Caenorhabditis elegans: one gene and its partners. The protein of the gene in region 1 purifies or fractionates together with the protein of each later gene. This does not show direct contact. Each region holds a gene or a part of one and is shown on either strand. Other genes may lie near its edges.

What was found. The genes of interacting proteins can lie anywhere in the genome.
Region 2: the proteins of act-5 (region 1) and rpl-23A.1 fractionate together in Caenorhabditis elegans (co-fractionation; one large-scale study listed by BioGRID). This does not show direct contact.
Region 3: the proteins of act-5 (region 1) and dim-1 fractionate together in Caenorhabditis elegans (co-fractionation; one large-scale study listed by BioGRID). This does not show direct contact.

Annotation. Positions count from the first base shown.
Region 1 is NC_003281.10:13,602,009-13,610,445, forward strand, and holds act-5 (Actin), read right to left. Parts: upstream 4,059-8,437; coding exon 3,558-4,058; intron 3,223-3,557; coding exon 2,756-3,222; intron 2,706-2,755; coding exon 2,546-2,705; 3' UTR 2,404-2,545; downstream 1-2,403. Other genes in the region: shpk-1 (Carbohydrate kinase FGGY N-terminal domain-containing protein), read left to right, coding at 6,064-6,137, 6,522-6,624, 6,668-6,779, 6,869-7,029, 7,188-7,470, 7,526-7,692.
Region 2 is NC_003284.9:4,711,375-4,718,651, reverse strand, and holds rpl-23A.1 (Large ribosomal subunit protein uL23A), read right to left. Parts: upstream 3,475-7,277; 5' UTR 3,469-3,474; coding exon 3,320-3,468; intron 3,252-3,319; coding exon 3,059-3,251; intron 3,002-3,058; coding exon 2,900-3,001; 3' UTR 2,852-2,899; downstream 1-2,851. Other genes in the region: F55D10.4 (G_PROTEIN_RECEP_F1_2 domain-containing protein), read left to right, coding at 181-332, 1,389-1,596, 1,641-1,760, 1,810-1,943, 1,991-2,063; Neuroligin-like protein glit-1, read right to left, coding at 3,796-5,445, 5,499-5,666, 5,721-5,951, 6,213-6,356; dnj-14 (J domain-containing protein), read left to right, coding at 6,914-7,080. UniProt on the Caenorhabditis elegans protein: This protein binds to a specific region on the 26S rRNA.
Region 3 is NC_003284.9:8,052,870-8,061,743, forward strand, and holds the start of dim-1 (Disorganized muscle protein 1), read right to left. Parts: upstream 5,352-8,874; 5' UTR 5,344-5,351; coding exon 5,299-5,343; intron 5,016-5,298; coding exon 4,958-5,015; intron 4,911-4,957; coding exon 4,833-4,910; intron 4,762-4,832; coding exon 4,708-4,761; intron 4,661-4,707; coding exon 4,125-4,660; intron 3,498-4,124; coding exon 3,323-3,497; intron 1,840-3,322; exon of another isoform or gene 1,704-1,839; intron 631-1,703; exon of another isoform or gene 285-630; intron 221-284; exon of another isoform or gene 37-220; intron 1-36. Other genes in the region: C18A11.3 (DUF4309 domain-containing protein), read left to right, coding at 8,262-8,353, 8,401-8,486.

The DNA.
Region 1 (8,437 bases):
AGCCCGTCCATGGCAGCTTCAATCGCGGCGATACCGCCTGGAGCACGCATTTCAGCGTGGAGAAGTTGGTATGGCATCTGGCTCCGTTCCAATCTCCCATGGTGACCTTTGGTTTGGGATCAAGAGATACGCAGACACCGAATTGTTCAGCAACTCTGGAAACATTTTTATTATATACAGGATCGTGATGAAAATACCTGTGCAAAATATATCTCGACATCCACAATTGATCTCCCATATCGATTCCTTCGCAGGTTCCGATTTGGAATTCCCATTGTCCAGGCGTCACTTCAGCATTTGTTCCGAAAATATTGAGCCCGGCGTGAAGGCAAGCACGATAATGTGTCTCAACGACTTCTCTCCCGAACGCACGATCCGCTCCGACGCTACAGTAGTACTTTCCTTGTGGAGCCGGGAATCCGTGTTTTGGCCATCCTAGTGAGTGCTCATCTCTGTCGACGATCAGATATTCCTGCTCCATACCAAACCATGGGCGGGTATCACGGATTTCGTTCATGATTTCGGCGCATGCTTGACGATGACTGGTTGCTGAAAATACTTCTTAAAGGAGCACCATTTTTGCACCATTTTTGGAGTAGGTCTCGCCGCGACAGATTTAACAGTAATAGAACTATTAAACTGTTAAACGAATATGAATTTTGAAAATTCTTTAAAAAAAACTTCATATAGGCGCAAATGCCTACGTGTTCCATGAAGTTTTTATTGCATTAAGTCAGCAAAGCAACTAGAAGGCGCATAGGCAGGCAGGCATCTAAATGCCTGTTTATTTTATTTCCTAACCTGTTGGCTGCATTTGATGGTCCAGCGTGTCACACATCACCAGCTTATTCCCACCGCCCAAAAACGGATCCGGATAGGCAGCGACTGGACGCAAATAACGATCCGAGTCACGTCCCTTTGCCTGCCCCGTCGAGCTTCCATCATAATTCCAGATGGGATAGTCCTCAATTCTCTTCGGAAGTTTATCAAAGGTTCGCGTTTTCGAACGGAGATTTTCCCCAGTTCCATCGATCCACACGTAGGTCGCCTGGATCTTTGTCGGATGAGGACGAAGTCCCAAGAATTGATCAATGACGGCTGTTCCAAGAGGCATGCGAGTTTCAAAGTTCAAGTGAGTCATTTTTACCTAAAACTTTATTTCATGTCTGGAAAATCTGTGTAGAAACTTACGGTTATTAGAATTTGCAATCGAGAGTTGTTCGTCGAGTAGAGCCAAGCTCGTAATAAATTGAGTTTGACCACCCACGCGAAAAAAATATTTTAACTATTGAGGAAATCTGTAGGCCGGCACGTTTAAACTTTTTGGAATGTTTTTTTATACAAACTTACAACAAATGAACCGTAACCGTCTGACTAGAATTGTGAATTTTGAAAAAAAAAAGTCGGAAGAAATGTATTTACGTGTAAGAAAAAAATTGACAAAAAATTTAATCGAATTCTATAAGAAGAGTTTTCAGTTTAATAATCGGCTCCTAATTTTTTTCGTACTTTTTTCCGATTATTTAAATGTTCACTATTTTTTTTTCTCCGGAGAAAAGCAGGTAACATTGCGTGCAATTTGAAAAATATGTAGTGTGAACGCGCTCAACATTTTAAAATTAATTCATCCTTTTTCCTGCGAGAAATCACTATGTACCTATCGAAAGCTTGTTGCTGGCTGCTACTCGAAAATTTTTGTAATTTCGGAAAAATTTGCATCTGGATATTTAGTGCAATAGAATTTAGAATTGGGCACAATTTATGGATATTTATAATTCCCGCCGATATTGCATGTATCTACTCATTTTTGACTCATTTTTCAGAAAGGTGGTTTCTTGTAGTTAGAGACAACTTTATTTGAAGAATTGCATGCTCTCTATAGCAAAAAGAACCGATTTTCCATAAGAAATCAAAATGGATGTTGCAAACTATCAAAAATGTTTTACAGTAAAACTATAAGACCGTACGATCATTTTTTCTCAAGAGTCATTTTTCAGTTCACTTTTTAAAATTTCTTTTTCCCAGTTATTGCAACAAGATAAAAATTATGGAAGTTGTCAAAAAAGTATCAAGAAAGCTCTGTATCACCGAAAAAAACGGGAACCGGATGGTACCGGAGTTGCCGAACGGCAGATCCGGTTTAGGTTAACTTATTTGTTTGTTTTTTTTTCTTAATTTCTAAGTAAAATCAATTTGGTACTTGTGCATTATTTCCCCTCATTTTAATATTATCCATTTTAATAAAACGTGATGTCCATTTTCCATCTTTAGGCTTAGAAATGATTATTTCCTAAGCCTAAAAAACAAAAACTCCACACGTTTTTATTTAAAATTATATTTTAAAAAATGAGGGGAAATAATACACAAGTACCATCAATTTTACTCAATTCCCAAGTAGCAAGTGGTCCTAACAAGTTTATTCATGTTAAGAAACCATAAATATAAAGAAAATGAAGTATCTCATGGAATTTGTGTCAAGTAAAATCGTGTTTCGCCTAGAAATGGAAGGCACATGTTGAAAAAAAAAATTTGAAAAAAAATCAGCTTAGAAGCACTTTCGGTGAACAATCGATGGGCCGGACTCGTCGTACTCCTGCTTGGAGATCCACATTTGCTGGAAGGTTGAGAGGGAAGCAAGAATAGATCCTCCGATCCAGACGGAGTACTTGCGCTCTGGTGGAGCAATAATCTTGATCTTCATTGTGCTGAAAATACAAGAATTATAATCTCATGTACTGAGAAATGTGAAGCTTACCTTGGAGCCAAATGTTGAATCTCCTTTTGCATACGATCAGCGATTCCTGGGAACATGGAGGTACCTCCGGAGAGAACAGTGTTGGCGTAGAGATCCTTTCTGATGTCGACATCGCACTTCATGATGGATTGGTAGGTGGTCTCGTGGATTCCGGCACCTTCCATTCCGATGAAGGCAGGCTGGAAGAGGACTTCTGGGCAGCGGAATCTCTCGTTTCCGATGGTGATAACCTGTCCGTCGGGAAGCTCGTAGCTCTTCTCGAGGGAGGAGGAGGAGGCGGCGGCGGCGAGCTCGGACTCGAAGTCGTGGGCGACGTAGCAAAGCTTCTCTTTGATGTCCCGGACGATTTCGCGTTCGGCGGTGGTGGTAAAAGTGTAACCGCGCTCGGTGAGGATCTTCATCATGTAGTCGGTCAAGTCGCGTCCGGCAAGATCGAGACGTTGGATGGCATGTGGGAGGGCATATCCCTGGAAGATTAGAAGATAAGATCGGATGTAGGTTCTAGATTTCTTAGATCCCAAAGAATTCTCACAAGAAGATTGTGGATCAGATAAGAAGATCAGAAGCTCAGGCTATGATTTGCAGAGAAATGAGGTGGCCTTGCTCTTACTAAGTTCTTACAGTTCCAAAAACTTAAAACTAAGGATAAGAGCTGCTGAGCTGAACTAAAAGTTTCCGAAAGCGCTGTGAGCCTGTTTCTGGCTGCAAAAATTAGTCGAAGCAGACGTAATCTCCAAAACTTTACACCGCCAAGTCAAAGAAGATTGCTGTCTTCTTATATTCTCTAAACCCATCTACCTACTTCATAGATTGGAACGGTGTGAGTGACACCATCTCCGGTGTCCAAAACGATTCCGGTGGTTCTTCCGGAAGCGTACAAGGAAAGCACAGCCTGAATGTTGACGTACATGGCTGGAGTGTTGAAGGTCTCAAACATGATCTGTGTCATCTTTTCTCTGTTGCTCTTTGGGTTCAATGGAGCCTCGGTAAGGAGAACTGGGTGTTCCTCTGGGGCGATACGAAGCTCGTTGTAGAATGTGTGATGCCAGATTTTCTCCATATCATCCCAGTTGGTGACGATTCCGTGCTCGATTGGGTACTTCAAGGTGAGGATTCCTCTCTTGGATTGTGCTTCATCTCCGACATACGAGTCCTTCTGTCCCATACCGACCATCACTCCCTGATGACGTGGGCGTCCGACGATGGACGGGAAGACGGCGCGTGGAGCATCGTCTCCGGCGAATCCGGCCTTGCACATTCCGGATCCATTGTCGACAACGAGGGCGGCGATTTCTTCTTCCATCTGAAATTAATAAAAGGTTGAAGAAGTCGAGTTTATAGAAAACGTTATTAAGTGATGTACGAGTACTATAAAATGCCGAAAAATGAAAATGTTGCCACATTTCCCCAAAAATGCAAAGTGTGTTATCAGTACCGCAGCCAGCTCACCATCGGGGGGAAAACGAGAAAAAGAGAGAATGGAGAGAATATGCCACATTCTGTATGTATATATGTGTGTGCGTTTGATACTGATAACTCCCTCTCTCACTTCGTTCTAAGAATTGCAGGTACGTGGTGGTTATATGTACACACTCACACACACACACACACACAAATTATCACGTCACACAGACAAAGTCATAGTTTGGTGAGCATGATGTAAGCAGCCTGTCAGAATTTGTGCTCAATTCTAGAACATGAAATTGTCAATTGACATGATATGCACTGGGAGGCTGTTAGCTATGGCCGATTTTATAAAATTGCTCAAATCAGTATAACAAATATGGAATAAACCTACGAAATTTTTGAAAATGCAGGCCAACAGGCTTACATCCGGGCTCCCCGAACTTTCCAGTAGCTCAAGCCGGCTGGTCCACTAACAAAGCATTTCAAAAAAATGTTATACATTGTCAGTTGACAACTTTACATGACCTCCTAAGATAAAAAACCCCCAAGAGATAAAAATCAACTACCGCCAGTCACTGGAGCGCTAGGAATGTAAAACTAGAAAAAATAAAGTGATAACATTCCAATTGACTCCAACTTTTAAATACTCCCTAAAATTGAAGTTTCCGCCTACCATTCCTCTTAAAGAAGCCATACTGGGAAAATGAGTCACTGATAAGTAATGAGTCAATGCTAGTTAGAAATACAATAGAAATTTAGGATCATAAACTATATTTTTTTAATGTTAGGGTGCAGCTAATCTTGAAAGTGCCGAAGATTCAAAGTTTCATTACATTACCCTTTCCGTATAATCCCAAAATACCCGTAAAAGTTACTACTACCCTATTCTGCTTATCACTGATAACAAAGAGGAAAGATGAGAAATCGGTCGAAGTGTGGAAGAAATTAATAGTTTAATTATTATTTTGAAAAAAGCAATTAGAAATGGAATAATTGAGATATCGACAATCTGAAAAACGTGAAAATAGCAGCCGGCAGCTTCCTGGGAATGTATGTAACATGGCAACAAAAAGGAAAAGAAAAAAGTTGTAAACTAAATAACAAAATTTATGTAGATTCATGTGTTGGATAGTATATTTTAACTTTTCGGCTGTAGAGGCTTATAGGTGGTTAAACTATATGTTTGTGCATTTACTATAAATCTTCTAACTACATTATAACATCATTACATGATAATCTAAATTACTGAAAAATCTTCATTACCAAGAAATAACTGTCAGTTGAACAAAAAAAAGATAATCTAAAAACTGTTTTGGCAATATTCTAATATGTATCACTTGTCGGACGAGGTATCGGAGTTCAATGTTTTGTTCCAGGTAGCACTATTCAAACTACAGTAACTCTACACTAGTTAAAAATAACAAAAGTTGTCAACTGGTAACACTTTTCATTTCTTAAACGTTTTTAGTTTTCAAAGAAAAGTTACATTTTTGTGCCCCACTGACCGAAAATGTACTTGCATCAACGAATTGTTTTTGTGAAATTTTCAAAACTTCTCATTACGAAATTTGGTAGTTTTGGGTCACTTCGGATCTAAAAAAAGCAAAGTCTCAGATTTCGGTACTCCATCTTTAAATCTTATAATCATACTTGCTTTATGTTTGCAATAGATTTATAATGTTTTTCCAATTTCTTTCCTCAATTATGCAAATCCATAAACTCCCGCCTCTGCACACCTCCAAAACGCTCCAAAACAGTCTCCCCCACTCTTCTATTTTTCTGTTTCTCTTGCACCCTCTCACTCTCTATTTATGCCCGTTCTTATCATTTTCAAGCTTCTTCTCATTCCAGGAAACCTCACCCCCGATTCCTCTTAAAATTGGAAACTCTTATCATCATTGATGACGGAGCAAGTTCATGTTGGCATTGATATTGGCACAACTTCGGCTAAAATTTGTGCAAGGAATGGGGAAAAGTGAGAAAATTCAATATAATCACAAAATTAATAAAAATAAAATTGCCTGCACATTATCAGTTGGCAAGTTTTGAAAAACAAAATTAAAATACAAAAGTGATTAATTGTTTTATTCCTTTGATTGGATCAAAACTATCTCAAAAAACCTATTACCAAAATGTGAAATGTAAATTTTTTCTGAATAGAATAATTGTACAACACTGGCAAAATCTGAAAAGTCATCAAAAAAAGTTTCAAGTCAAATAAATAGGTAATTATTTTGAATACGTTCTTTGGAATATTTCAATTTTTCAAAAACCATCAAACCATAGTGCCATCAAAAACTGAGTGTGTAAATTTTAGTACGCTGATTTTGTAAATAGATAAAACACTTTATATTTTTAGCGTAATCCTAGAATTCAAAAAAATCTACGAAGGTGACAATTCTGATGCAGCTGGACTTCAAAATCCGAAGATTATAATTCAAACTGTTTTGGATTTGTTGGAAGTTTGTAACCGCCTAAAAAACTGGACAAATTTTTTTTTTGCAGAGAACAAAATCTAATTTAGAATCGCGAAATCTGAAAATATCCAATATATGGACGTGTGGACAAATGCATGGAATTGTCATGTGGAAGCAACGACAGAATGAAATTGATTTAGGTATACAAAATGGGAGTTTTTGTTGCAAAAATTTTTGTATCTTAAAAACAATAATAATGTTTTCTCATTCAAAATAATGCAATTTCCAGAGACCCTAACCATCTCACCATTGTACAATTGGACATACAGTTCTACGGAGCTCCCAGCGTTTCTAAAAACTATTCCTAAATGGGAATGTGGAGATTTGCATCCAGGGTTTGGTCTTGTTACGCTGGCGTTTTTGAACTACAGTAATCCGGAATTTTTAACGGTCAGAAATTAACGCATTGAATCTAGAAAACTAAAAAGTGGTCGGGGTCAAAAAAAATCATTATTATCGGCGAACGGCATTCGCTGTTTGCCGTTTGCCGCCCGCACAGCCCTGGCTCATACCCCTATAACTCGGACAAAATTTATGACTTTTTTCAGAATTTTATACATTGTGGAACCATAATGGACCTATTCATCTCTATTTTGACACAAAACCCGGACCCCCTCATCTCTCACCACAACGCTCACAGCTGGGGTTACTGTACTGAAAACGCTACGTGGCAGTCAGAAATTTTAGATTTTCTCCCTAAAACTCTGAAACTACCTGACATAAATTCTTCCTCTGAAGTTTCGGGGACTTGGCACGGTGCCAAGTGCCACGTGGCATCAGGAGATTTGCAAGCTTCCGTGGCATCGCTGGATTATTATGAAAATACCGCTTGTGGGTCTTTTTTCAGAATAGTTTTATTTTTATTTTAGCAGATTTTTAATTTTAGATGTAATCCTCGGCACATCTGCTCAACTATGTTGCCTTATTCAAACTTCGGAAAAAAATGCTACAGTAATCCCGGCTACCGTAGTCCGGCTGCCATTCTCCACGTCGAAAACTCTGGTGGCCGCCTGCGCAATGAACGGGGGAAATGCTCTGGAAGCGACGTTGAAGGTGAGCCTGGGAGGTGTCGGGTGCTATTTCGGGAATGAAAAATTCTGAGAATGACGCGCACAATATCTCCTTGCGAAAACTACAGTTATTCTTTAAATGACTACTGTATCATGTATTGTTCTTACATCAAACACATTTGTGATTAATTAGTAAAGAAAAAGAACTGAAGTATAATTATTTATTTCCGCAAATTCCCTGTCACCCCGCTTTTTTTCAGGAACCTCGTTTTCATCAAAACTTTTGATTTATCGAAATGAGAAGAGGATGTACATTGCAACTTATCAACTTACGCTACTAGTTGTTTAATTGTCCAGTTTTTGTGGCAAACACTCATTGACTACCTTCTCTTTGACTACCTTTTGCTCTTTGACTACCTTAGATCATTGACTACCTTTCGGCTCATTGACTACCTTTTGCTCTTTGACTACCTTAGATCATTGACTACCTTTCGGCTCATTGACTACCTTTCGGCTCATTGACTACCTTTATCTAATTTTTCAGAATTTTCAGTTTTTTCCGCTGAAAAATCAGAATTTTCAAGAACATGTTAGTTTTTAATGTCTAAGAAGGTCGTGCTCTTTCTCATTTCCTGAAATTCCGGAAAAATGGAGATGAGATCTGATGTATAAATGCTCATTGACTACCTTCAAATGCTCTTTGACTACCTCTATCTAATAAAATTTTCCAAAATTTTTTTGAAAACTTTTCAAAATTTGATCAGAAAAATGCAATGTTTGTAGTTTTT
Region 2 (7,277 bases), on another chromosome or scaffold:
GCTCAAAAAATTTGGGAAACATTTTTCTTTCAATGTTTGATCTTGATGGAAATTTTAAATTAACAAGATACCTCCAAAATATAATTATGAATATTTATATATGGAACATTGCAGTCTTCTATCCAGCTAATCGAAAATTCATCTTCAAATTCCAAAATTTCAACGTTCTGTCATTTCCAGCTAGTCGACATGAAGTCTCGTTCGTTCGCTGAATTGGAAAAATTTCCGGCTTTGACGACTGCTATTTTGTTGAACTCGACTATTAGCTTGCTGACCTTGCTGACAATTGGATTTGTGCACGCGCTCGCGCGACACAACTATCATCTATCGAGGTTAGTTTATTGCTTTCGGGGAAGCTTAGGGTTTTTGCCCCTGAGAGCAAATCAGGTGCACTCCTCACTTTTCCTGAAAAATTTCCTTAAATTAAAATATGAAAAAGGGCAAATGCACCGAATGTCACATCACATACATGTTTCCCATGTATGCGTCACATAAAAGAGTCTCTCGAGATTTTCATTAGTGCCCGTCGTCGTCCACGCTAAAAAGTTTTCCAAAAAGAAACATGAAACTTTCCTTGTTTGTTACATAAAAGATTCCTTCCCTTCTCTTGTTGTTTAGTCAAGGGGTCAACTAATTACTATTCTTTAGCACAGTTATATAGTATTTTTTTTGTTACATTTTGAAAATTATATGCATTGATAAATACTACGCTCAAAAAATAAAATTTTCTTATCAAAAGTAGGGAAGGTGACTCAAAATAAATTGGGCATATGCAAATCTTTGTCACATTTCATTAATCAGATACACCAAAACTTGACCAAAAAAACTTGGTTTGGAATAACCAGAACAATAATTTTTTAATATGGCAGACTTCAGTGTCATTTTATTATTCAAATACTTTTTTGTGCAAATTTAAAAAATAACGCAAAGTAAGTAGACTTAAATTCACTATTTAGATGCTGGAAGTTTTTGGCAATTGGCATTTTCAGAAGTCGGCTATCGACATTCTTTCAATTAAAGTATAGTAACTTTTGAAATTACGACAAAATGCCGGTTACCGCAGAGCCTTGTTAACTGAAAAAAAAACAGTTCATTGAAAAAATAGACGAGCTCGCTTAAGTGTAACATTTTTCAACTAATAAATACTTAAATACCATTTTTATGAGAGAAATTGAAAGTATTCGAAAAACTCGAAAATAAGTATAAAACATAAATAAAGACATTGTTTCTCAGTCTTAGAAATATTTAATTTGTGATTATTTTTTAAAATAATTCCTCAAAACCAAGAAATGTTTCAAAATTTTGAAACTAAAATTAGTACTTTGAATTAACTGAATTTCACTGTTATTATACATTTCTAATTTATTATCCCATCGACACATTTCCAGGTCTCAATTATCTCGATTAATCGGCTCAACATGGCTTCTCGTAACGTTACTGCTTCTATCCGACTTTTTCCTAATCCGCCTCTCGAGATCTTTTGTGTTAGCAGTGCCTTTTCATCTTGCTCTTCTATCCGTATTCCTTGTGCTCAATTTGATTATTCATCCGCTCAATCTCATCCAGCTAATCATATCACAACGTCTTAATCCAGAGGTAAGGGATCGAAAAATTGCATTTGAGTATTGAAATTTTTGTAGGAAAATAGTCAAACAGTACGGTTAAAGAAGGACTGCGCAACAGCGTCACTATGGTTGCTGTTGAATAGTTTATCATTTATTATAATTTTTATGATGGTTGCCTGGGAGTCCAAGGAAAAGGTAAATAATCATGTTATTGTTAGATTACAAAATTGGAACACAACTTCAGGACCAGTATAACTCAATTATGGGGATTGAAGTTGCGGCATTCTCTGTTCATTGTGTCGCAAATCCATTGATAGCTGTGATCCGAGATAGACAGTTAGAACGAAGTCTTTCCAGAATAATAATGCGAAATAAAAGGTAAAAATACCTGTGAATATTTCAGATGTTTATTATTTATTTTTCAGACCACGAACAAATCACGAAGAAGATCTAATTATTGCACTGATGCGTGATCCCCCACCGCCATACACCGAGTAACTGTCCTGAGAACAGTAATTTAATTTCATCTTCCGGTTAGAATTGTGAAAACTTGTAGTAATATTGCAGAAAATTGTTTTCATGCAAACTCCTTTCATCCATTATCTTTTTCAATCACTTCTGGTTAATAACTTTTGATCTCAAACACGTTTTTGCCAGATATCATGTTTTTTTTCGAAATTTTTCGCATTACTCTTGATCTCTCAATATTTATTTTAATGTATGAATGAATAACCAGTTGCAGTGTTTTTTTGTAATAAATTGTATTTTTCATTTAATTTCATAGTATTTGTCATTAAAAAAAATTGCTTACAATGTTCAAAAAAATAAAAAAAATGAACAATTTATCGTTGTAAGAGTTTTGCACTCATGTTCTTTAGGATATTCTTTGAAATATGGCAACAGCTCAAAATTGTACAAGAACAACAACAAATCTAGAGTTGTGAAATGAAAAATCTGAAGTTATCATGGCACAATATTGCTTATTAGTTAGTGCAACATTTTCAAAACGGTCTCATCGCGTGAAACACTCAAAAAAAAGAGTACGAAGTAGAATGGGTGAGAAAAAAAAAACGAAATTTGGTACTTGTGTATTACATGCCCTCATTTTAAAAGTAGTTTTTTAAGTCAATAATTTTTTAGAATCAAAAAACATATTGTTGTATTTTTAGGCTCAACAAACAACCATTTCTAGCGCTTTAATTTTAAATCAGGGTGATTTTCATGAAATGTATGATAACTACTGCTCTTACAATTAGTATTTCTTTCCCTACCAAATCAGCAAACATTTTTAATAACAAATTGTTTATTGAACAAACAAGGAACAAGAAAACAATTTAGATAACTCCAATCTTGTTGGCAACGTCGAGAGCATCGTAGTCAGCGGTGAGGCGGACGTAAGCCTTCTTCTGTTGAAGTGGAGTGATGAGGGTGTTGACCTAAAAACAAGCATTTTGATTTCTTTTTGCCTGGAAATTAAGATGCTTCCAACAAACCTTGAGGGCTTGGACGTTGTAGAGCTTGTGGACGGCGTCCTTGATTTGGTACTTGTTGGCGTCGTTGCTGACGATGAAGACAAGGGTGTTGTGCTCCTCGATCTTCTTCATGGCGGACTCAGTGGTCAATGGGTGTTGGATGATGCGGAAGTGGTCCATCTTGGAGGTCTTTGGGGCAGACTTGCGTGGGAAACTGAAAATCGATAATTAAAATCATTCAACTTTTTAAATAGTTCTTTTAATTGGACTGAAATAACTTACCGAGCCTGACGGGCGGTCTTGAGGGTGACCGGGCGACGGAAGTGCACGGAGGTGCGGACTTGACGTCTGTGGGTGGTGCGTTTTCCCTTGACGACCTTCTTCTTGGCGTCGAGAGCCTTGGCAGTCTTAGCTGGAGCGCTTGGAGCCATTTTACCCTGAACAATTGATTAGAGTGAAAATGACTGGAAAATTGAGTTAAAAAAGATAAACAGCGGCTCAAAAAACCAGTTAAATGAACAATTAAAAAAATCATTAGACAATACATGTTTTCTTTTTGAAAATGCAATAACAATTATGATAATAATAAGGCATCAGTAAGATAAGGCTCCGAAAAAATAGAGATCACAATTGGATGGTTTAAAACTCGTACTAAACATAAAAAGTAAGTGAAATGAGATTCTGATCACAGAAGTTAGTAATTATTATGTTAGTACTCTAAAAAATTTAAATTATACATTATTTACAAACTTTGAAAGTTAAAGATTGGTTATTCTAGATCTTGGTGATCGAGTCCGTGAAGAAATAGTAGCATCCGACACTGAGTGACCAGTGTCCCGGTATTCGACGAGTTGGTGGTTTTCTGCTTTATAAGCCGCCTCCTCGTCCTCCTTGTTTCCCCAAACCATATATCCAAACGCGCCAGCAAGTACTATCAGTAGAGCGATGATGATGACGTTGACTCCAGTGATCCATTTGAAAACCATGATTTCTCGTCGGTACGCAACATTTTCAGGGGAAAACGTCGTTGTCATGTAGTTCACCAATGCAGGGATGTACTCATTCCAGAATGCAACATCTTGATAGCGATAGTCTCTTGCAAGAGTTCCAGGAATCTTCCAGTCTTCTTCATGTGTGTAGTTAAAGTTAATGTACCAATGACGCCTTGGTTCGTATGCTGCCCAGCTGCCATCAAATTGAAAATTTGGGTTCTGATGATAACTGAATCGACGTATGATGTTGGAAAACGTCCTGCTCGCGTTTCTATCTGTATCCGTAAAATTTATGCCTCGCAGACCAATCGGTCTCAGCTCGTCCGGTAAAAACGGATAGCCAAACATCAGATACAAGTCACAATCCCGACAAACTCCCATCCAGTCAGGAATAAATAGCAGGTTTGGATGCTGGCGACTGAAGTTGTAATTATTTACATATTGAAAAACTCGTGATCCCGAAGAACTGTGGAGATGCGAGGAGAGTTGCATCGGAGCAGTGTAGTAAGCATCGGTAGCAAATTGGATAAAGTTTTCCTTGATTGCCCAAGCAGCTGCTCTATCAGGCCAGAAAGTGTATTTGGAGAGGATCGCGTCGGCGGTAGCTTCCCGATTCATTGAGTAGTTATGACGGTAGCAATATTCCAGCGAGTAACTTTTCAAATACTCGTGGTCGACATCGTTGAACTGACTAAACTCTCCGAGTCTTCTGTCTTCCAGCACGACTTCACTGCCATCTTGAGCATTCATTCCAATAAGCATTGGTACTGGACTCATGATTGAAGTCTCCCCACTCGGCGCGTTGACGAGAGTCCATAGCGGGTTTCCAGGGAGATATTTTCCATCCACCGTTGGCATGAACAAGTATCTGTTGTACTCGATAGGAATGTTCCTTGTTGCATCAATGATGTCTCCGGTTGATCTTGTCAGAATACAATCCCAACGATGTTGTGCAACAGCTTGTGTACATCCTGCGTAGCGTCCCAGCTTCATTGTGTTGTTGAAAGCCAGTGCAGTTTTTCCAATGTAAGAGTGATATGAAACTTCCGCTCCGGACATTGTGGCCGCCGATCTGAAGAGGTGCCTGGAATACGGTGACTGCATGTGAAATCCGATCGAAGCTGCTCCTGCATCGTGCCCGACAACTGTGACAGCTTGTGGATCTCCGCCAAACGTTACAATGTTGTTTTTCACAAACTCCAAGGCTAGTCTCTGATCCTGTAGTCCATAGTTGCCGGTTTCAGAATCTCCCATACTCATGAAGCCGAAAGCACCAAGACGATAGTTGACAGTTACTACAACCATTCCTCGAGAAGCAAGTCCATGCGCTGGCCACTCATTTGCAGACCCAGTTTGGAAATTCCCGCCGTGGAAGAACACAATTACCGGATAAGTGGTTTGTGCATTTTTGGAAATCTGGAAAATTAAATAATTATTTTTCATAAGAAAAATTCAATAAAACTTCTTACGTCAGGAGAGAAAATGTTCAAGTAAAGACAATCTTCATCGACCATGAATGGATAAGGATGATCTACAAATGGACTGGGCGACTTTTCAACATCTTGAGCACATGAAGCCGCGTAATTGAATGCCAAATACGGTTGTTTCCCTGGAAAGACGGTAAGCTGCTGTGGTGGCTGTAAAAATGTAAAATGAGTTATTCAATTTATGATATGTCGGAATAAGTGTACCTTAAATCTTCTCTGAGACGTCGGTGGTTCTGCATAGGGCACTCCTAGAAATGTGAAGACTGTGATATTGTTTTTGGGCTTCAGTGGATTCGGATCAAAGTGTGTTCCGTCCTTGGGAAGCTCTTCGGTTGGATCTTTGTGAATTGTCCAGGGCAGGTTGTGGAGATGAACCTCTTTGCCAACAATGTCTCCCAGAGGCAGTCGAACAACCACTTCATCTCGGTTTAACCCCTGCAATGTACACAAATGTTAGGTGAGGTGACGACGCAAATCGATATGCATTTAGGCAAATAGAGCGAAACATCTTTTGCAGAGTTCAGAGAAAGAATAATAAATTGGCTCAATTTTTTAGCGAAAATAATCAATTCAGTTTCTTTAAAATAATCTTACATCATTATTTTATAACATTCTATTTTCTATCATTTTGATAATAACTACTAGAAAAGTTTAAATTTCTAGGTAAACATAGTTTAAAAAATTCAAAATACTTACTTGGTTTACTCCGCCATGGGGAAATGGTGTTGTCGTTGTTTTAAACGGATCCCATAGATCTACTGGACGCGTTGGTGGTGGAACAAATTGTGAAATGACCAGCGGTAATGTGAATAAGCTATTGAAAATTGTGCCGGTGAACATTCCATGTGACGCGATCTCTGAAAAATTTAATTTTAAAAAAGAAAAATAAAATATCTCTTCGAAAAATTTCATTGAAAATTGAAAATTGATAAAAGCCACGCAAAAAAAAGCGAAAAATTTTTAGGCAACGAGTGATCATCAGGTTGATGACCTACGGTAACACACATTTCGAGCTGTGTCAATATGGGAAACAACGCGCTGCGGGACCGCATGCGAGGCCGGCGGAGCGCATTTACGACCCTCTTCCTCTCCCCCACTATGTGTCACCACTGCCGTATGGGAATGGTTGCGTCTATTTACACTCTCATTTTTCGCCGTTGTCTCTCCCAATTTTCGCGCTCTCCGTCAAGGCTCATAAGTGTTTTACATATTGATTTTGACTTGTGATCTGAACTGTTCGGCGAATATTTCGCTAAACTGTTTCCCCTCGACACTCTCTCTAGTTTTTTTTTCTATTGGCATTTTAATGTGATAGGTTTAGTTTTCAATTTCCGTTGTTTTAAATAAATTCCTCCTTGTTTCCTTTCTTTTTTAAATGCAAATCTAATTTCAGGGAAATGAACTCAGACGGATTACGGGAAGCGGAGGAAGGGAGAACAAGTGGAGGAGCATCTCCCCGTGAAGAATCTCCAGCCGCTGATCATTCGCACGATCCGAAAAAGGGACTTCATTTGTACAATGTTCTCGGCATTCAGAAAAATGCCACAGATGACGAAATCAAAAAGTGAGTCTTTGAGTTGAAAATACATTTTCTAAATTCCTATTCTTGCTATAAAGAAGTATTGTTATCAGTGTAACGCAGTTATTTTTATTATAATCGTTAAATTTAATCAATTGTGGTTTCTTCTGACTTGAAAATTGTACAAATTGGGTGTGTCCATTCCGAACGAAATCGAGTAAATTTTGTGAAAAGTGAAAATT
Region 3 (8,874 bases), on another chromosome or scaffold:
ACACACGAGCACATAAATATATGTCTTAAAATAGACACAGAGTTCCCCTGCGTAAAAAAAGTTGGACTGGTCAAGGCCAAGAACAAAATGTTAAGTGATAGGAGATGGACAAGGATGCCAAGTGGGTATGCGGTGAGAGTCGGAGAGGGCAGGCACATCCACGGGAGCATCCCAAGTCTCTGTACTAGCGGGACTCCGCCGCCGTTGCCGAGGCTGCATTGCCAACTCTAATCACAGTGTGACAAGAGGCGCGCTTCGGAGCGTTACACAAAAATCGGCGCCCTCCCTCCCGCTTCTCTCTTCCTACCGTGCTGTGTACTAGAGGCGAGAGGATAAAGGAGAGAAAGAAGGTCTCGGAGCAGGAGCGCGCCCCCGCGGGAGTCCAGAGCAAGTAGATATGACGGCTCAGATTGATGGACCAGAGAAAACAGAGAGACAGAGTCGAACCTATCACTATCAATGATTATCAACATGCCTTGGCTCTGTGTCTTTCTCGAAAGTTTCGGCAGGACCACTGTTGCTTCTGCTGCCTGATCACCTATCGATCCGTAAAGTTTACTGCGTGGGAGGACAGCTAGCCAGCCGACCACTGATAGTGAAAGAACACAAATATCTCACAGAAAAAGGTCCCACAGAAGAAAGAATAAAAAGTAACTAGTTAGTTCGGGGTACATTGGATAGATGTTAATAGATTTGATAAGAGATTTATGAATTTGGCAAGCTTCTCAAATACCACCCAATAAGAATATACATATACATAAACCATAACAGCTAAAAACGACAGAAAACCTATTGCACAAAACTAATTTCCCAATAAATCATCTAAAAATGTAAAACACACACATCATGATCGGGGAACATATGTTCATCCCGTGAAACTGAAACTCATGCAATCTCAACGACTTGCATGGCTGATCCAACGCATCTCGTGGAACCTATCAGAAATCTATGACTATGACGGAATGAAGAAACGTGCGATTTTGATTTTTCAAACAAAAAATGAGCGCGGGTTTAGTAGGGGAGGCAGATATGATAGAGCCGCAGTGCATTGAAAATCGAAATCGGCACTTATCTCAACAGTATCTTTTTTTAATAGCTCAAGTTGACAAACAAAGGCTCGCACCCCCATAGAGTAGGTGGATAGTGGAAGAAAAGGAACTCTCGCTTTCTCATTGACAAATAAAATTTCAGTTACCTGGCGCCACGATTCATTCAATATCATTCTCGAATCCGATCTAAACTCAATGTGATCATATCACAAAAAATACTCCTAGAGGAAAGGAAAAGCTGCAGAAGTATGTGTATACTTGAGACAGCCTTTTGTATTTTTGAGTGGTTGTGTGATTTTTTTTGAATGAACATTGATGATATCATAAAAAGCGGGATATGAAAAAAGAAAATTGAGCAAATAGCTTAAAGAATTTTGTTTGGCAAATGAAATGTACATGATGAAGTTAAATAGTTTTAGTTATTGGTAGAATTCTTACCAGGTTGATTTATATCTTTCTTACAACTACGCCGATTTGTTCTCAAAATAATCGGCAGAGACAAACAATTTCGCAAAAACACTTCAAAATTAAAAAAAAAAAGTTCCGAGAAATAGATAAAATCGTTGAGTACATGTCCTACATAGATCAATATGCAGACGACAAATAGTGTATGATCTCATCATTATCGGCTTCACACGTCCCCCCGAAGTTCTCCTTAGTTTCCATTTCCCACCCACGTTTCATCAATTTCGCCTTCGTGTTAGACGAGCAGATAAACGTAATACGAATCGCGTTGGCATATGTCGCGAAGATATTTGCTCATTTAACCGACCGAGCGGGACCTCCTCATACGCTTTGGAAAAAGAAATTTCCCTGCTAACACACACGCTAAGACCCCACAACTGTTCGAGTTGACTGTTCGGGCTTCTGCGGCTTTTACGAATGGTCCCTATCATCATCATTTGCTTGCGGAGGAGTTGGTGGCCAAGTGGAACTAGAGATAAATGAGATTTATAGCCTAGATGGAAGGTTAGAAGACTACTTTCTTAATTTTTTACGCGAGAAATGAAACGTATATATTTGATTCTACCAGTTCTCACATTTTAATTGACATTCATTTTTTAAAAATAAATTTAAACTCTACAAAATAGCATGAGACAAGAACAGTAGAGTAGCAAAAAAAACACTTTTTCTAGCGACGCTAATTGTACAACAAAAAAATTGACTGAAACCGAACACAATGTAACTGTTCAATTTTCCTTTTTCACTCTAGAGAACAGTGCAAAAAACTGGTGGTGAGCGAAAGAGTACACAAGAATGTGAAGCACAGTCCCAGAAATTTTGAAGCAGCCATCAGCACAGTCTCATTGTGTGCAATATGAAAAAGTAAACGGAAGGAAAAAAGAGTAAAAAGGACAAGATGAACAGTGCAAGTAACAAATTGTTGTGCGAGATCTCTGCGTAATGAGTTCATAGCATAAAAGAAAAGTGGTCTGGTCAAAGCGAACGAGTGCAAAGAAAACAAATAGTTACGACAAGAATACATAGAACCCCCAAACATTCATTGCAGAGATGTTCGGCAATGTCAAAATTCGGAAATGTTAAAATTGCCAACCTCTCAAGGTTTAATTATTTAATTTCAAAATATACGACTAGGCTTGTAAATTTTTGAAAATATTCAGAAAGTGTCAAAATCGTAGCTCAGTTTGGATGGAAAAAATTATTCGTTTAAGATTTGAGTTTTTGATTCGAAAAAATAGAATGCTATACCACTCAATTTATTATATATTATTTGACCTATCTATTTGTCTTATTTTCAATGAAAACTTTCTTCTATTAAAATCATACTAGAAAATATACAATTTGAGCATTCACTGGAAAATAAAGAAAAAAACCCTAAGAAAGTGATTGTATGTATAATAGTAACTTCCGAAGAATGATGCATTGATGCATAAAAACGACGGGACATTTTTATCGTGTTTCCCCCCAAAAAAAATTGTATGAAAGCAAATCCTGCGTCGTCAGTCGGCGTCACTTCAATAAATATATACGTACAAGCAGAAACCTCCCTCCCGACCAATATTGTTGACTATTCTTCACAACTTGTTGCTTTTTGCCCTCCTCTTTTCCCTATTTCTTTTCTATCAAGTACTATATTTCTATGTTTGTCGGGAAAAGAGCGCACGGTAATCTCTTGCTCATTTGTTTGTTTCTAAGATCATGGAGGCGCTGTGGTTGACACAGTGTGCAGACCATTCGATTTAATTTCCAATACTGTTTTTGTTTATTTCTTCGCTTATTGATAACTGACACAAGAACAAATAAGTACTCACCATCAAAATAGTAATCATCAAGGTCTTCACTCTCTGTCGATGTTCCAACTCTGCACTTAAATGTTTTCTCAATTTGAGTACATGTAAATTGTGAATGGACTATGTACTGTTTGCAGCGGAATTGATGTTGATTGAGATCTAAACGGGGCATTTTTGACGATCGTGGATCCTTACTCTGAAAATTACAAGCCATTATTTTTTGGGAAATTAATATTTTGGAATAGTTTTGAACACTTTTGTACGTTTTCATGTTTTCATTTTTTGCAGTTTTTGCTGTGTAAAACTTTGATATGAAACATGATCTGTTTAAGAGAAACTGTTGAGAAAATACAAGATTATACATTTTAGCTTTAAAAATTTCATGCAAAGCTGTGTAAAACACGGTGAAAAAATTTGAAAAAAAAACTGGCTGATGGGTGTTAATTCAAATAGAAATTGCCTACTTTTTTGCCAATTTATGTTTCAGTGACGATTTGAATGTTTTATTGGTTTTTAAATATGAAATGTTCTCTATAAGGAAAGTTACTAATAATTTTCCAACAATAAGAACTCTTTCAAAAATTATCTTGAAAACATATAACAACTGAAGTTTTATTTTTATTTTTTTGTTAAATCGTTATGTTTAGTAAAAACTTTACATTTTATTTTATTTTACAGTTTATTGGTTCTTCTTGGTTTTAGTTGGAAATATTATGTTTGAAATTCATAGAAAGTCGGTCATGTTTTACTTTTTCACTAACTTTTATTAATTTTTATGTCACTAAACTAACTGTTAGTTAAATTTGTAAGTTTTAAAACTCACTGGTAACAGAAGTGGCCTTTTTAACAGTTTGAGAGCCTCGGTTGCATTTGTCGTGTTGGAGGTTGACACGTCGATATTATAAGGTAATTCACTCTCTGTGGCTTTTTTACTAACATGCTGTTGCTTAGCACCTGTCCTCCCTATGAAAATTCTCTTCCTATGGTTACTCGTTGCATGCGTTGATTGCGGGGTCTTCTGATTAAAATCCGATGCGATATGAGACCTCTCATGCCTCTCTTCATCATCTGACTGCTCTCCAAATTTTTCTACCTCTTTTGTTGAAACTTTCGGTAGTTTTGTGTCAGTCCTGTCACTTAATTCTTTAGAAATATAAACTGAATTGTCATCAGGTTTCATTTTCACTGGTATTATCGTCACTTCTTTGCTCGTACTGGGCGGTAACTTTCTCAAATATTGCTGCACACTTTTGTTTGAACCATTTTTCGCAGTTAATTTTTTCTGCATTTCTTGGCGTGTTTTCATCAGTCTTAAAAAATATTCAGAATGCTTCGGTTTTTCCGTCATTCCTTTTTGTTCTGAAAAAATGAATAATAGAAACATTTTTTAACGTAATCGAACATACGATTTTGTGAAATGAATGTTGTTGGTTTACTTCTTGTACAAAGGTTTTGATTATCTGAAAAGTTAATTTTATCATATTTGAATTTTGTCTTTAAAAAAATACAAATCGTATCCATTAACACCTACTATATGATCTGGGTAAGCTGTAAATTGATGTTATCTCTCCAGGCAATGGGGTTGAAGTTCTTGGGTATTCATTTAGATCTGAAGTTGAAAAATTATAAGATAATTGACAAAAACACTTTACTTACCTTTGCTAGTGCATTTAAAATGATTATTGATTTCCAGATCGTCGAAACTTTCATCAGCCTGAGTATATATAATATTTAGCGTTTTATTCTTTTTTTTTAAAATTAATTAGAGTTATTGCTTCCTTATAAGCCAGAAATTTCTGAATCGGGAATGTACGCAATATGTCGTGGGGGTGTTTGCACAAGGATACTACTCAATAAGTGGTAACACTGCACATCTCACTGTGATTATCGGTTCTTATTAAAAGTGTAAAGACTTGTGTTAAGTGAAAACACCAAGTTATTAGAATAGCAAATATTGCATCGAAACGTTGAAATTTTACAAAAGTTTTGACACTTACCAAGATGGAGTCGGAAATTTTAAAGAATGGTGCTAACGATGCCATTCTTATGGAGTTAAACTGAAAAAATTAAGATTTGTGTTGTTAATTATAGAAAAAAGGACGAGAATTGAAATAAAGGATGAGTGAGGAAAAAAAAGCTTGATGGACGGAAAGTAAACAAAAACTGATACACAAAAAGTTAAATAAACAAAAAGTGAATGAAAAGTTTAGTAAGTAAGTAAGTATTGTAGGTAAACGGGAACAGATGACTTTGTGGTTTTCAGACAAAACAAAACTTTTAAGGCGAGTTTTTTTAACCATTGAAATAATGAAACAATAATTTGATTTGGCTTTTTGAAATCTACCTAATTGTTGTCAATAATTAAAGTCAAGTTTAACTGACTTGCAATTTTGTTTTGGTTTGAACAATTGGCATAGTTTTAGAATGTATATTGTTAAGTGAGAACTTTCATTGAAAAACCATTTTCTCATCTCTGTAATCAAAACCAACTAATTTCATAAAAGTCATAAATTGAAGGTTATCATAATTATGAATTGATCAATTTTTGAAGCACCTTCGTGATAAAACTGACCACAAAAAAACTAAATGATATCGGCGTGTACACATGTGGTGTTAGGCCTAAAATCCGATATTTTCTTTCTTTTCGATAACTATGAGATCATTGTCGGCGGTAACGGGAAGGGTGACTAGGGGTCTTTTGCAACCTGGAATTGTGGGTGACCGGCATCGAGGATGACCGACATCGTGGGCGACCGTCGCCGTGTAAAAAAAAACGCACAAAAATGTGTTTGATGAATTGGGATTAAACATAAACTGATAAACAAATAAGCTATAACATTCGAACTACTTGGAGTATTTGAATTCGCAAATGGGAACACTACTTCTGTGCATTAAAGTAAAGTTTTCAGATAAATCAAACATTATCAACAACTGAAAACATTTTCGATTTAAAACTTTTAATGCTACTTAGCTATTAACCAAAATTTGAAAAAAATTTAACTTACTTGCCGGTCCTTGTAATTTGAAAATTAGATAGTGATGTTGAAAAATGTTCAACAGCTTTTATTTTGAAATGAAATAAAAATACTAATTCTAATAAAACAAGACATTAAAAGTTTTCAAAAAAATTTAAAGGATTGGAATCGGTCGTAATAAAATCGGTTGCATTCAAATTACAATGAGAAAACAACTTTTAGAATATATCGACAAGTACAGTTGGGTAGCCAGCATGCAAAACATCCAATACTTTCATTTTTCGATAACTATGAGATTACCGTCGACGGTAACGGGAAGGGTGACTAGGGATCCTTTGCTACCTGGCATCTTTGGTGACCGGCATCGTGGGTGACCATCGCCGGGTAAGAAAAACCTTAGAAAAGGTGCTTAAAGGTTGGATGGTAAACGTAAACTAACAAACAAGTATGCCGGGACATTAAACTAAAAACTATATTATTTGAACATAAGTTCGCCGATTTTTCAGGATATTAATAAAAAATCACATACCGGAAAAAAATTCAATCAGAATTTCTAAATGAGATTTAATTATCACCAATCACTCAAGAACCGATATTGAAACATGAGTATACTTTGTAAAAAATTTTGTTGCTCCCAATTGAGAATTAAAAAACAACAATATCGACAAATACAGTTGTGCTAGCAACAATACCTAAAAATCCAATACTTTCATTTTTTCGATAACTATTAGATCACCATCGGCGGTAACGGGAAGGGTGACCAGAGGTCTTTTGCGACCCAGCATCGTGGGTGACCGTCGCCGTGCAAGCTAGAGATGCGTTGCGGAGAAGAGAATTAGACAACGCCAGAGTTCAACACTACGAGACGAAACGACATCACTATTCAATTCTAAACTGTACGTACTAGCCACCTGCCTGGAGAACCCGTTGAAAATCGACTTGATCGATATTTGGTGAAAGGGTGAAAAGTAGGAGACACGAGAGGGGGAAAGATGTCAATGAGGACAGGGGAAACGTATTTTCGAGAAAGTTGACCTTATCGACCTTGAGCACAGATGGCTCGTAATAACAAACTGAGTGCAGCCGAAGACATAATCGGAAAAAGCAGCCGATAAAAGTTATAAATACATTCATCCAGAAACACCAACTGATTTTAATAGTGGAGTAGCGCCATAGGGTAAATTGCTTAAAAAAACATTTTTATGGTGCAAAAATGATTAAATATCATAGTAACACTTATTTGAAAGTTTTGAATAGTTTTTTGTTGACAATCAAATGTTGCAATTACTGCATTTTTGCAGCTTATTGAAAACAAAATTATAGCACTGCAGAATGCTCAAATCACTGTAATGTTTGAATATGAGTATTTTAAACATAATTAGACTATTAAATTTGTAGGAATTGTTTAACTATGTTTTATTATGACTATGTTAATTGCTTCCCCTATTCCAGATATTATCATATAGTGTTCCTTTGAAATTAATATAAAATAATTATTTCAGACAACCCTGCATACATAGAATGTTATTTGGTATTGTCAATTTTTGGTTTTCTTCAAACATGTTCTTCCAGAACTACTTTTACGGTGAAATTACAACTTGTTCATTTTTCCAGAGACTCTTCATGTGGAAACATTAGTAACCTTTTTTAATGTTGATGTGCACAAACATTTTTTATCAATTTTTGCCATAATAATGCGGAACTTTGTTTAATAACATCAACAAACACAAATGATACGGATTGTTCCTGTTGTATTAAAAAATTTTATACCAGCTCTCTCTTGAATCTTGAAATTTATGACTTTCATTCCAAAAGTTACACATTGCATACGAAACCGCCACTGATAAATCTTTAACATTTATTACCCTCCACGTATCGTGTGGAGCAATTATTGCCATTTTCAGTGTGATAAAACCTTTCCTTTTTCCGGTTTACACAAAATATGAATTTAAATTATATAGTTTAGTTATTATTTTTGTTTGCAGATGAGCAAAAGCGGCTCACTACCAAGATTTGCGGACGAGTTCGAAGACGATGACGATATCGAGTTAGTAGAAGGCGCAGATTTTGGCAAGAAGTAAGTTGTTTAAAAAATTGTTTGAAAATTGTAGATTTTTATTTTAGCCTTCGAAGTTTCGGTATTCGTCTTGCTATTTCTTTGGTTTTAATTGGATGTGTAGCTGGAGCTGTGATTTGGTCTTTTGTACAGGGTTAGTTAGTGGCTTTCACTGGTATCTCCAGTCAGTAAATTTAGAAAAAAGTATTTTGAAAGATTATTGCTACTTGGAATAACACTGCTTAAAAAAGCGCCAGTGGGAAAATTGTTAAAAACAACTCCTATGGTCAAAAAGTTACCGAATATCATTATAAAACTTTTCAAAACTGTTTTGAAACTTTTTTATTTACGGTCAAAAAGTGACAATTGTTTTTGCCACTCATAATTTTGGAAGTCGATCAAAAAAACTTTTTTTCTACATTTTTTATACTATGCTTAATTATTGTTTATTCGAAACTGGATAAATTTTAACCAAATGTAATACAGTTCGCGCGCTTGCTGTAGGACCCCCTAAATTTTTGAAGTATTGAAAAACTTCGAAT